Linked DNA regions of Canis lupus familiaris. The protein of the gene in region 3 interacts with the protein of the main gene of each other region in a biochemical or structural test. Links are inferred from orthologs where the notes say so. Each region holds a gene or a part of one and is shown on either strand. Other genes may lie near its edges. The genes, in order: USP8, ARRB1 and STAM.

What was found.
Region 1: the proteins of STAM (region 3) and USP8 form a complex in vitro, tested with the Homo sapiens proteins (2 studies listed by BioGRID). The link is inferred for Canis lupus familiaris from reciprocal best matches to the Homo sapiens genes STAM and USP8.
Region 2: the proteins of STAM (region 3) and ARRB1 form a complex in vitro, tested with the Homo sapiens proteins (2 studies listed by BioGRID). The link is inferred for Canis lupus familiaris from reciprocal best matches to the Homo sapiens genes STAM and ARRB1.

The regions. Positions count from the first base shown.
Region 1 is NC_049251.1:16,694,650-16,698,296, reverse strand, and holds part of USP8 (ubiquitin carboxyl-terminal hydrolase 8), read right to left. Parts: intron 3,360-3,647; coding exon 3,217-3,359; intron 921-3,216; coding exon 788-920; intron 635-787; coding exon 449-634; 3' UTR 1-448. UniProt on the Homo sapiens protein: Hydrolase that can remove conjugated ubiquitin from proteins and therefore plays an important regulatory role at the level of protein turnover by preventing degradation. Converts both 'Lys-48' an 'Lys-63'-linked ubiquitin chains.
Region 2 is NC_049242.1:23,399,587-23,403,233, reverse strand, and holds part of ARRB1 (beta-arrestin-1), read right to left. Parts: intron 2,029-3,647; coding exon 1,893-2,028; intron 912-1,892; coding exon 827-911; intron 374-826; coding exon 301-373; intron 1-300. UniProt on the Homo sapiens protein: Functions in regulating agonist-mediated G-protein coupled receptor (GPCR) signaling by mediating both receptor desensitization and resensitization processes.
Region 3 is NC_049223.1:18,289,121-18,293,547, forward strand, and holds the start of STAM (signal transducing adapter molecule 1), read right to left. Parts: upstream 2,948-4,427; 5' UTR 2,730-2,947; coding exon 2,690-2,729; intron 1-2,689. UniProt on the Homo sapiens protein: Involved in intracellular signal transduction mediated by cytokines and growth factors. Upon IL-2 and GM-CSL stimulation, it plays a role in signaling leading to DNA synthesis and MYC induction. May also play a role in T-cell development.

The DNA.
Region 1 (3,647 bases), on a different chromosome or scaffold from region 3:
CTATGTACATTGATTTGATGTGCAAGTGTGCAATAAATATATACACATACATTCCTATCTGCTTTACATCATTCTAGAGTATTCATAGATCAAGCTGGGATTTAGAAATGTGAAAAGGCCATAACAGTGAAAAAGGAAAAAAAGGATAGAATGGTTTTTAGACCTGGTAGAATAATAATGCTTAGCTAGTTAATTACTTTAACTTTGGAGCAAACTATAAAGGTTTTGAAATAAATGGTACCTGTAAGGAGTGCTTACTGCAATAGTTGTTAAATATTATTAGTCAGTTTTTTGATAATAGCACTGACCTAAAATATATGGTGATAATAACATAGCTCCCACTGTCCTAGAATTCCTCTAAAGGGCCAGCTATAGCTATCCAGTATAAGTATGTCGAGTTGTTTCGCTCAGCGTCTTAAAAGATAACTAGCTTATAACCTACTTCTCCTTATGTGGCTACATCAGCTGCTCGTGGTCCCAGTGAAGTATAAAAGAGGATATAAGCTGCCGAAGACTTCACAGAAGAAACAGAGATATCAGAAACTTCATGATCATCAAATTTAAACCACCGCTGTCTTGCCGCATTTTTACAATAGGCAGTGTAGTGGCCTCCATCCAGCCCACCGTAGTGATTCTGTGTCAAACGAGATGGACAATCAGTTCATATTGAAATTACTGACATATTTTAAATAATTCAAAGCTTTCTGTTATTTTCCTATGAAGGAACCACTTGCAACTCTTTCTTTCTAAACAAAATATGAAAATATTTAGTTCACAAGATACTTACTGAAACAGAAAACAAATTATATTTCTTCAAATTGTTCTTTGGGCCAATAACATACTGTGACAAGTCAAGATTTTCTAATGGGAAGTCCACAGAGGTCTGTAATTTCTGTTTCCACCTGCCATCATAGGAAAAACTGCGGAGCAAAACGTGACATTAATTAATACTGACAGACCAAAAATATCAGAATGACTCTAGTTCATTCCTCGATAGTCTAAACTTTTAGCCAGGACCATAAACCCCATTTCAAATACTCAGAATTTCAGTAGTGAAAGGACCTATAAAGACATCTGGCTTCATTTCCTCTTTACAAACAAGAAAACAGAGGCACACAGATATGAAATGACTTGCCCTAAGTCAAACAGCTAAGGGGGTAGAGACGAATCTTACCGTGGTCCCCGGACCCCTAGGCCAGCCAGAACTGTGAGAGGAGTTTTCTACAAAGCCAAAAACCTACAAAGACCCATGTTTATAATGTTAGTCCCCACACATGTCCAGAGGACAGACTACTGCTGGGGAAGCTGGAGCTGGAAACTGTAAGCACACAGACTACACAGGTATCCCCTCCTTTTCAAAAGTTGACATTACGCTGCTTTAATAGAAGACTTACGTTAGTCCTTGTTTTTGCTAACCAAAAGAAATCCAAGAGGATTTCTGCTTTTAAGAAAAAAGGTGAACAGTGAAAATAGCATTTGGCAGTATTTGTTCTGCAGTAAGCTGGTAGAGGCAGCAGGCACCTTGCCGAGCAGCAAGAGTGGCACCACCAAGTCTTTCCCGGAATACTCAGCATCAAGCTGTCGGCATCTGTGTTTTACCTTGACGTATTTTGTGCATCTCTTTGCAAGATGTGTCCTAAGGCATCAGAAAGGCCCAAGAGAAGGTTATTTTTGGGGTTTAGGAATGCTCAAGATTTTCCATATAAATTAATGGTAACTGCTTCTTTGCTTTTCACCGTTTTGCTTTATGAAAGATTTCACAGGAATACTCTACTCTCAGGTAGCAAGGTGAACTATAATGGCATTCCATGATCCTGACATATTCTGCTCCTTTAAACATCAAAATACTGGTATGTTGGTGAACTCTTATATCAGAATTTTCAAAAACTGAATTCTGAACCATTTATATTTTCAGATATTCTGCAAAGAGTAAAAGCAGCATTAAAAATTTTAACTGAACAAATGTGTAATCATTTATAGAATGTTTATACCTCCACAATCCTCAAGAAGACAAAAACTGATTCACAGCCTGCTGTTAAAAATTTTACATGAGAAATTTGAACACGTCAATGTTGAAAATATAACTGCCAAAGAATCTCCAGTAATACAATGAAGCAAATAATTAAAATAGAAGTGCTTTCTTGAAACTAAAATTACAGCTCAATAAAAAGATCAAACAATGACCCACTGTTATCACTCCATGGATAGATTATATACAAAGACCAGAAAAAAAAAAAAAATCAAAACACTTAGGACATGTTTTATAACTCTCTATTAGAGGACCAGATCTTTTTCACTGGCTGGAGAAATCTGGACAAAAATGTCTGCACCCAACAATGGCATCCTTAACATCTTTAAGACTACACTTAAATCCTGTATTTCAGGGATGCCTAGGGCACCCCTGAGAAAGAGTCAAGGCACAGCTGGGCAAGTGCCTGACTCTTCGTTTTAGCTCAGGTCGTGATCTCAGGGTCATGAGGTCGAGCCCCACTTTGGGCTCCATGCTCAGTGTGGAATCTAAGACTCTGTCTCAAACTTCTCAGACTTCTCCTCTGTACATGAGCATTCACTATCTAAATAAATCTTTAAAAAATTCTTTATTTCACTTTCAGCCTAGTATTAAATCCTTTTTTAGTTTACTGTTTGATAAATTTTATTGGCTAATCATTTGTATTATACTGTATAAATACATTTTCATTTGATATTTTATAATATAAAATTATATATAAATATTATAAATAATAAACATAAATATATATTAAATATATATTAAATAGATTTTTAAGATTTTATTTATTTATTCATGAGAGACAGAGAGAGAGACAGGCACAGACACAGGCAGAGGGAGAAGCAGGCTCCATGCAGGGAGCCTGAAGTGGGACTCGATCCCAGGTCTCCAGGATCACACCCTGGGCTGAAGGTGGTGCTAAACCGCTGAGCCACCCGGGCTGCCCCAAATTTTGTATTTGAAATGTAATAATTAAATTTCCTTTAAAGAAAAAAAAAAAAAAAGATGACATTACATGAAAGAGTCATGTAGTCATTTTGCTGTTACTGCAAACACTAAGGTAAGGAACTAGAGTCTCCTCATTTCTGCCTTATTTCCCTAATCAGATATTTTCCTTTGCAATGCATCCTTAGCAGGCAGTACAACAAAATGACTTAGAATGAAGGACTTAGAATTCCTTCATCTAAATGGCAGAAAAAATTGTTTACCGTTTCAGATGCACTAAAAGCACAGGTGGCAACTTCCAGATTTCTATCTTTTTTAAAGAATCCCGTCGAGTTCTGCAATGACTGCAGTAAAACCTGTTGTTATCTGTGAGCTTCTCTTCTTTGGAAAATAATCTAAGGCAATCCTGGAGGCAGAAACAAGTAGCAGTTACTTATTCCTGTCTTCACAGTATCACTGAATGTCTACTCAATAAGTTACTCTGCCAGGCATGAGGGATATAACAGAGAACTAGAAGAAAACAATCCCCTCACAAACTTTATGACCTAGTGGGGAACCCAGATGAGAGAGCCGACCATAACAAGAGTGCAGAGCGTGGTGAGTGCTGCCTACGGTGGAGGGAAGCAGTCCTGCGTGTCTGCACTCTACCTGGTGTCTCAGGAAGTCTTGCTGGAAGAAATGACATTCTCAAGGA
Region 2 (3,647 bases), on a different chromosome or scaffold from region 3:
CTTCAACCTAGGTTTCTGGTACAGTGTAATTACAACCCCAGTTCCCTTTGATTCATTAGGTCTCATTTGGTCATTCTAGTTTTAATGGGTCTGTCCCTTGACTGTGGCATGTATTTTCTTGTAGCTAAACCAAGCAGGTGTTTTCTTAAAAGGCTATTTGGGATGATCTACTCTGAGCGACAAGGAAGTCTGAGATCCAGCCTTCTGTCAGGTGGAAAAGAACCATCTGCATCTGTAACTACAGCCAGGGCTTCTCATTTCCCCACCCACACATCCAAGGATGGGCTTGTGCTCACTTACTCAGCCTCTTCCATGGCCACAGGGCACTTGTACTGGGCTGTGTTAAAAAGGCAGATGTCCGCATACTGGCGCACTGAGAGGGAGAGGGAGACAAGGTGGTGTGAGCCAGGACTGCAGCTCCCGGGCATCCCAGGCTCCCTTGAGTTGGGGATGTTCAGCCCCAAGAATGGCCAGAGTGCACTGGGAGATTGTTCAAGAGACCACCCTCATCTTCCACACAAAGGGTAGCCCGAACACACCTGTTCCCTTCCATCACCAAAGGTCTCCCTCAGGGACAGCTTTGCCCAGAACCCAGGGAACTTAGAGGGTAGGTGACTTAAACAGTAAACTCATTACCTGGCCAATGAGTAGCCTGTGTTACTAGCCTCAAAAGCCTTTCCCTTTGGCCTAGAGTAGGCCCTGGGCTTTCCTGCGGGCCAATAGTTATCTACAAGGCTGTTAACAAGGGGAGAACCTTCAGCCACCCCCAACCCTTGGGAGAGTTCCCTCTTGCTGGCCCCATGGGGTGGCCTTCCACCCGGGGTACCCGAGATCTTGATCTTCTTCACTGTCTTGTTGGTGTTGTTGGTGACGTGGACATTAACGCTGATGGGTTCTCCATGGTAATAGATCTGGGAGGCAGAAGAAGAGAGAAGGGTTGGACCAGAGGATACTAAAGCTCCAGAAAGATGGAGGGAGAAGAGGCCCCATCATATATCCTAGGGTTCCCCAGACTTTGGCCACTCTGACGTTGGCCTCAAGTTCATCAGCCACTTCCCACTGATGCTAAGTCACTGGGCATGTTAGACCAGTTCTTTGTCAGGATTTTGAAAGATAATTGAATGAGGAGGTGATATTCCTGGGCTCTAGTCTGGACTTGGTGACCAGAAATAATGAGAACACTAATTATAATAATGATAAAGAGGATGAACACGGTGTGACCTTGGACAGGTTGGCTAAGCCTCGGCTTCCCCCCATCTGGAGGACTTGGACTAGGTGATGTATCAAGTCCCTGCTGGCTTGGGATGCCAGGAATTCTAGACACAGGAGGGCCTAGAAGAAGCAGGAGAGAGAGGTGGGGAAAGACGGGCCTGCTCACCAAGGGAACTGGCTCTGAATCCTTACTGAAGGACCTCAACTCAAATCTGTGGCCAACACTTGCCCTCAGCTATCCACAGAGAGAGAGAGAGAGAGAGAGAGAGGCAGTGCCCACACATTAAGAGGGGGACGGGGTGCAGGAAGACGGCCGAGACTCAGGTCCCTTCAGGAGGCACGCTGACTTCTTTTTTTTTTTTTAATTTTATTTATTTATGATAGTCACAGAGAGAGAGAGAGAGAGAGAGAGAGAGAGAGGCAGAGAGGAGGCACGCTGACTTCTAAAGTCGATTGTATCCCTCAGGCTCATGCCCCACTCTGCCATTCCTTTAGGCCCCCAGAGGCTTCCCCACAGCCCCCTAAGGGATGTCTCAGATTCCCTGAACCCTGTGGTCTTAGGACTGGGGGCAGAAGCTCTTACCTACCCCAGGAGCCCTGGTGACCATGAGAGAACTGGGATGAGATGTCCCAGCCCCAGGAGAACAGCCCCCACCCCCTGCCAAGTCCAAGCCTCCTACCTCCTTATCCAGGGAAGCTTCTAGATGCAAGGGCTTGTCCGACATGAGGAACTGCCTGGTGGTCTCAGCTGTGGGCTGGGGGCCAGGCCTCTCCGGGGCATACTGAACCTTCCTGATCACCAGGCGCACAGAATTCCTAATGGAGATGGGCAGAGCAAAAGATAGCCAGAGTCACCTGCCTCCATCCTCCTTCCTCATAACCCTCCCTTTCCTCCTCAGGAGACTGCCATGGCTCCCCCGGCGTTACAATCCAGACCAAACTGCAGAGGTGGACACAGAGGCCTTGTCACCACCTGGCCCCACTCCATCCTCCCCCATTGTGTACACAGCCACCCCCACTTCCTCACTATCATCCTCAGTGGTTCATCTCGTCCTGTCTCTGCAGCTTTGCTTACACCGGACCCCCGCCTGCAATACTCTCCTCCTGCTTCTACCCTCATTTATTTCCTTCTTCAGGACCCAGCTAAATACCTCCTCTTCCAGGAAACCTTCCTGGATCAGCTCACTTGATCTTGTCCCGGTCTTAACTCCCACACCAGCGGAGCTGAACCACCCCATGGCAGTCCCTCATGTGGATCTGTGCCTTGGCAGCCAGCAGGATGGCGAGAAAGGAACTATGTTTCACTTCCCACATCCCTTACTTTACTTAATAGTGTAAGCTCCTTAAGGAGCAAAATTTTTATCTCAATTGTTCACTGCTGTGTTTTCAACATCTATGACAGTGCCTGCCATATAACAAATGCCTTCCAAATATCTATTAAATCAAAATCTGCAGAGGGACCCCATGAAAAGGTGGGGGCTCAGAGAGGTGACGGGGTTCAGTGAGGGGGTGTGGATTCAATCAGGGGGATGTAGGCCAGTGACAAGGATGGGGACCCAGTGAATAGATGGAGGCCCAGAGATGAGATGGGACTCAGTGAAAGGGACAGGGGCTTAGGGAAGAAACGAGGATACAAGGATTGGGAGGGGATGGGATCTGGTGAGGCAGTGCCTGCGATGTGCTGGGTGTGCCAGCATCCCCATTTCTCACCTGCACCCCCTAGAACTGGACAGCCAGGCTGAAGGTCTGAGCTTGCCCCTTACTAACTATATGCCCTTGAGAAAATTCACCCCTGGATCTCAGTTTCCTCATCTGTAAAATGGCAACAGTAGCAACACCTACCTCCCAGGGTTGCTGAGAGGATTAAATTAGTTCCTACATGTTCACCACCCTGAATAGTGTCTGGTCCTTAATAGGCCCTTCATAAACGATAGCTGCTATATCATTATCAGTAGTATCTCTGATGTGGACTTAAAATGTCACACTGGCATAGGGTGAAGGCAGTGGCCCTCAGTGTCGTTCCTCTTCCTTGCTCCGGTCAGGCCCCCTTCAAAAACCCACGAACCCCTATCTTTCCCCTGGTCTCAGGTCTGAAGAAGAAAAGGAAGACAGAGAAGCCAGGGAGAAGGGTCCCATCTCCCCACACCTTGGAGTTGCCTGGGCTGGAGATGGAGATGCTCAATACGCTCTTCAGCCGCCAGGTGGCAAACTCAGCCCACTCCCTAAGAAGCCGCAGTGCCCTCCCTCAGCCACCCTCAGCCAGGCTCGGTAGGAATGCGGGCGGCTGCCTGGGGAGGCAGGGTGCATCAGAGTGGGGGGCTGAGGCCAGCCTCGCCTCCTCGCCAGAAGACAGGGCAGGGCCTGCCTTGAGGAGGAACAGGCACGAGAGCAGGGCTGGGCAGTCTATCTCAGAAGTCAGGTCCAGCTGTTTCCAG
Region 3 (4,427 bases):
TCATGAGCACAGGTAAAAATGTAGAAAAAATAAATTAGAATGAACTGACACGTAAGACATTAACTAACCAAACCCTGGTGTAGGTACTTGGGAAATTAAGTTTGTCATTAAGAAATTGATTTAAATGTGTGCTTAAAAGTTAGTAGGATAAGTGCACCTGGGTGACTCGGTTAAGCATCTGATCCTAGGGTCCTGGGATCCAATCCTTAACCCTGAGCCCGGGGTCCCGCATCCGGCTAGGAGCAGGGAGCCTGCTCTCCTCCCCGCTAGTGCTCTCTCTTGCTATCTCTGTCCCTATCTCTGTATCTCTCAAATAAATAAAATCTTTAAAAAAAAAAAAAGGGCAGTAGAATATAAAAGTGAATGTAGTTAGAAACTAGATTATATGCAGCTATGAAAAACAGATAAAAGTTCTGAAAACAGAGGTATTAAGAAATTGTTTTATTTTAAGCATTTGCCCTAGAAATTACTGTAATGTGATAAAATTGCTTGAAAGCAGCAGCCATGTCTTACTCACCTGTGATGTCACTAAGACAATTTCCTATAAATACAGATCTTTCTAGACTTATGATAGGGTCAGGTCTCAAACCCACGTAAGTTGAAAATATCCTAAGTCAAAATTGCAGTAAATTCACCTAACCTACATTACAGCTTAGGCTAACCTACTAAGGCTACTTAAGAGTGTGCTCAGAAAACTTACTTTAGCCTGTTTGGGCAAAATCTAACATAAAGCCTATTTTATTTAAAAAAATGTTGAATATCTCATATAATTTATTGCACAGTGTACTGAAAGTGGGGAAAAAACAGAATGCCTGTATTAATGCAGAATGGCCCAAGTATACTGGTAGTTTACCCTTGTGGTTGCATGGGTGACTGGGAACTGCAGGTGGGTGCTACTGCCTAGCATCATGAGAGAGGATCATACCGACTGCATATGGCTTTCCCGGGAAAAGATCCAAATTCAAAATGCAAAGTACAGTTTCTACTGAATGCATATCCCTTTCGCACCATACTAAAGTCAAAAAATCGTTAAGTTGAACTATTGTGAGTCGGGGACCATCTGTACTGTGTGCTAAGTGCTTACTGAATTAAACGCAATTTTCCAATTATTTATTAAGTATTATTGGCCATCTCTAAAGTTCCATCCACTGCTGATTCAGGCCATGCATTTAAACTGCCACCAAAAATAGCTATCACTTAGATGACTACTCTACAAAGGCACTATACAGGTTATTTCGTTGAGCCCTCTACATGTATCATTTCACGGAATCACAAACAATGTGTTTTTTCCCACGTTTTAAAGATGAGCAGCACTCTGGGACTCAAAGAGCTTCAGGGATTTGCCCATGATCTCACCATGAGCTAGGCAGTGGCCAAGATGGGACTGAACCCATTTTCTAGTCTTAACCCAAACCTCCAAGCCTCAGTGACATGTTCTAAGGAAGAGTTAAAAAGCAAAAATCAACACCTACCATTTGTAATTAAACAAAATAATAAAAAGCAACTCCAGAACGCCTGGATGGCTCAGTGGTTGAGAGTCTACCTTTGGCTCAGGGCGTGGTCCTGGGATCCTGGAATCCAGTCCCACATCTGGCTCCCTAATGGGAGCCTGCTTCTCCCTCTGCCCGTGTCTCTGCCTCTCTCTCTCTGTGTATGTCTCATGAATAAATAAATAAAATCTTACAAAAAAAAACAAAAAAACAAAAAAACGCAACTCCCTAAGGGTGTCCTTACATTTCTTTACTATAGTAATTAGTCACGGTACCTGGCTTGCTTTCATTCCATACTTGTGTGCCACAGTAGTTCCTAAGTGCATCCAAATCACCCCAAAATTCTACTCCAGGAAACTCAAAGTCTGTAATTATCACCCTCAAACCCAGGAGAGTGGGGAGGTGGGGGAATCCCTAACCTGTTGAATTGGTATGGTCAGGACCCCAAACCAGTGATTCAGAAAACAGAAAAACAAAACAGAAGGGACATTTGAAAAATTAAAACAAGGCAGCACTTCCAGATTTAAGGTCCTCTTGCACACTTCGTGAAATACTGAGACACTGCCTAAAGAAGGCAGCACAGTGGCTCAGGTCCCCGGTTCGGTTTCAGCTGTTGCCAACTATTCCATTTTCACCTCTCCCGACATTTTTGTGATTCTACCCTTAGCCAGCAGCTCCCTCCACCCGTTACAATTGCAAAAAATAAAAATAAATAAATAAATAAATAAATCAATCCTAAAATCCCCTACGGAAGCTAACCTACAACATCCCCCTAGTTCCAAACGTTTGACATTTGTCCAGGGAAACACTTTATTGGAGGGCTTATAGTCCTCCCCTGGGTGACCTCCTGCTGCTCCGCCCTCCACTCCCCGTCCTGCAGAGGCGCCGTCCCAGCCCCAGATGCCACACCAGCTGTTCCTCCGAGGCCCCCCACACCAGCCCTCTCCACAGCGGGGCTCCCGAAGCCCACAGCCCTAGTCTAAGGCCCACTTCGCAGGCTCTCCGAGTCCCATTTCTTCCCCAAAAGGGCGAGCCAAGCCCCCAGCCTCCTCCAGAGTCTTCAGGACGGAGCCTCGGGGAAGGCGAAGCGGCGGGCCGCGGCGGGGGTCGGGCACGCGCGCCCAGGGCCGGCGGGCAGGGCGGGCAGGGCGGGCAGGCGCTCCCGCGCGGGGTGGCCAGGGAGCGGCAGGAGCGCTTACCAACATCCTGATCGAAGGGATTGGTGGCAAAGAGAGGCATCTCCGCTGCGTGCCCGGGTGTCCGCGGGGACTCCCCCTCGACACCACGGGAGTCCGGGGGCGACGCGCGCGGGAAGACTGCCTCGGGCAAACACGGCAACGCGGACGGACTCCACAGGGGTGGCGACAGCCCCACCTCTCACAGACCCCCAGCAACCGCGGCGGCGGCGGCGGCGGCGGCGGCGGCGGCTGCGGCGGCAACAGCGGAGGCGCAGACAAGCCCCTCCCGCGCGCGGAGCCTGTCGGGAACCGGGGCGACCTCGGCGCTGCCTGCTCAGAAGCTGCCCGGAACGGGCCCCCCGAAGCCGGCCCCGCCAACGCGCCCCCGTCTGCCTGACTCCCCTTGCGATCGGTCGTCCCGGAGAGTGGGAGCGACGCCTGCGTCTTCTGCCTTCGCTTCGGCCGGGAGTCTCCGGAGGACGGGGTCCTTCAGGCGCGCCGGGGCCGCCCCCCGAGCCCCGGAGTGAATCAGAGGCTGAGAAAGAAAGAGGATCGCGTGAGCGTTGAGCGAGACCCCGTGCTCGCCCCGCACGCCGTGGGCTGTGAGCGTTTCATGGTCCCCAGGGAGGGAGGAGGGACACGCCTTCGCGGGGGCGGGGGGGTATTGAAGTTAAAAAGCCGTGAGTTCGGTGTCTGCCTGAGGTGACCAGAAACTTGCTTGGATGAAGTCATGTGAGCCGAACCCGTTGGCCCGACTCCTTGGGGAGGGAGGGGAGTGTCAGGGCGCGCGACTCCGGAGAGGCTGAGGTAACGCGGCAGCGTCCCGACGGCCCGCGAACGCCTGCTTGCGGGGCCCGGTCGGGAGCGCCTCTGGCTGAGGCCGAGGCTCCTGACTAACCGCGCAGTCCCTGAGCGGCGGCGATGTTCGGAAAATACGGCTCACGCCCTGGGACTTACTCTACGGTAAACCCCGCTTCCCCGCGAAGACCGAGCAAAATCCCAAAACAAAGCTGCGGATGGAGCTGGAACTCGATGAGGGCTTCCCAAGGACTTAAAACGTTTATTTAGTGTTTTGTTGTTGTTTTGTTGTCGTTGTTGTTGTTTTAAGGAGTGTTTTAACCAGCGGTGCCTACGTCGTGTCGGATTTCTTAAGGAAAGCACCCAGACGCTTTGCGTCCCGCTTGGACAGAGGAGGAGCGTTTGCGCTCAAAGTGGAATTACGTGGATCATACCTAAATCAGAGCACCTCGAAGCGTAGCGTGGAAAACAAGGGTCTAGGACTTGTCATCGACGGGATCGGTGTACGAAGAATGCTTACAAGCACCGTTCACAATGAACACTCTTCGTTCCCAAAAGTGAAGATGACGTTTTTTGTCCGACAGGGATTAAAATGGGATGTGGGGAATCGTGGACTCACGTTGTTGCCTGAAGTCTAAGTTAACGGGGTCTTCCCAAAGGACACCCCTGAACGTCTGTTAGAAGAGCTTTCAGAAATGAGAACTCTTCTGGACCCAGCAGTTCTTCATGGAATTCATCATAAAGATTTTTTTTTTTTTAAGATTTTATTTATTGATGAGAGACACAGGCAGAGGGAGAAGCTGGTTCCACGCAGGGAAAGATATTTTTTAAGAATATGAACAACGATATAAACGCTGTTTTTATAATACCAAAGTATTGTGAACCACTAACATTGTCCAATATTAAGAAGTGGTATGAATTACTTCACCTCTTGGCGCCTCAGTTTCTTATCCGTGAGGAA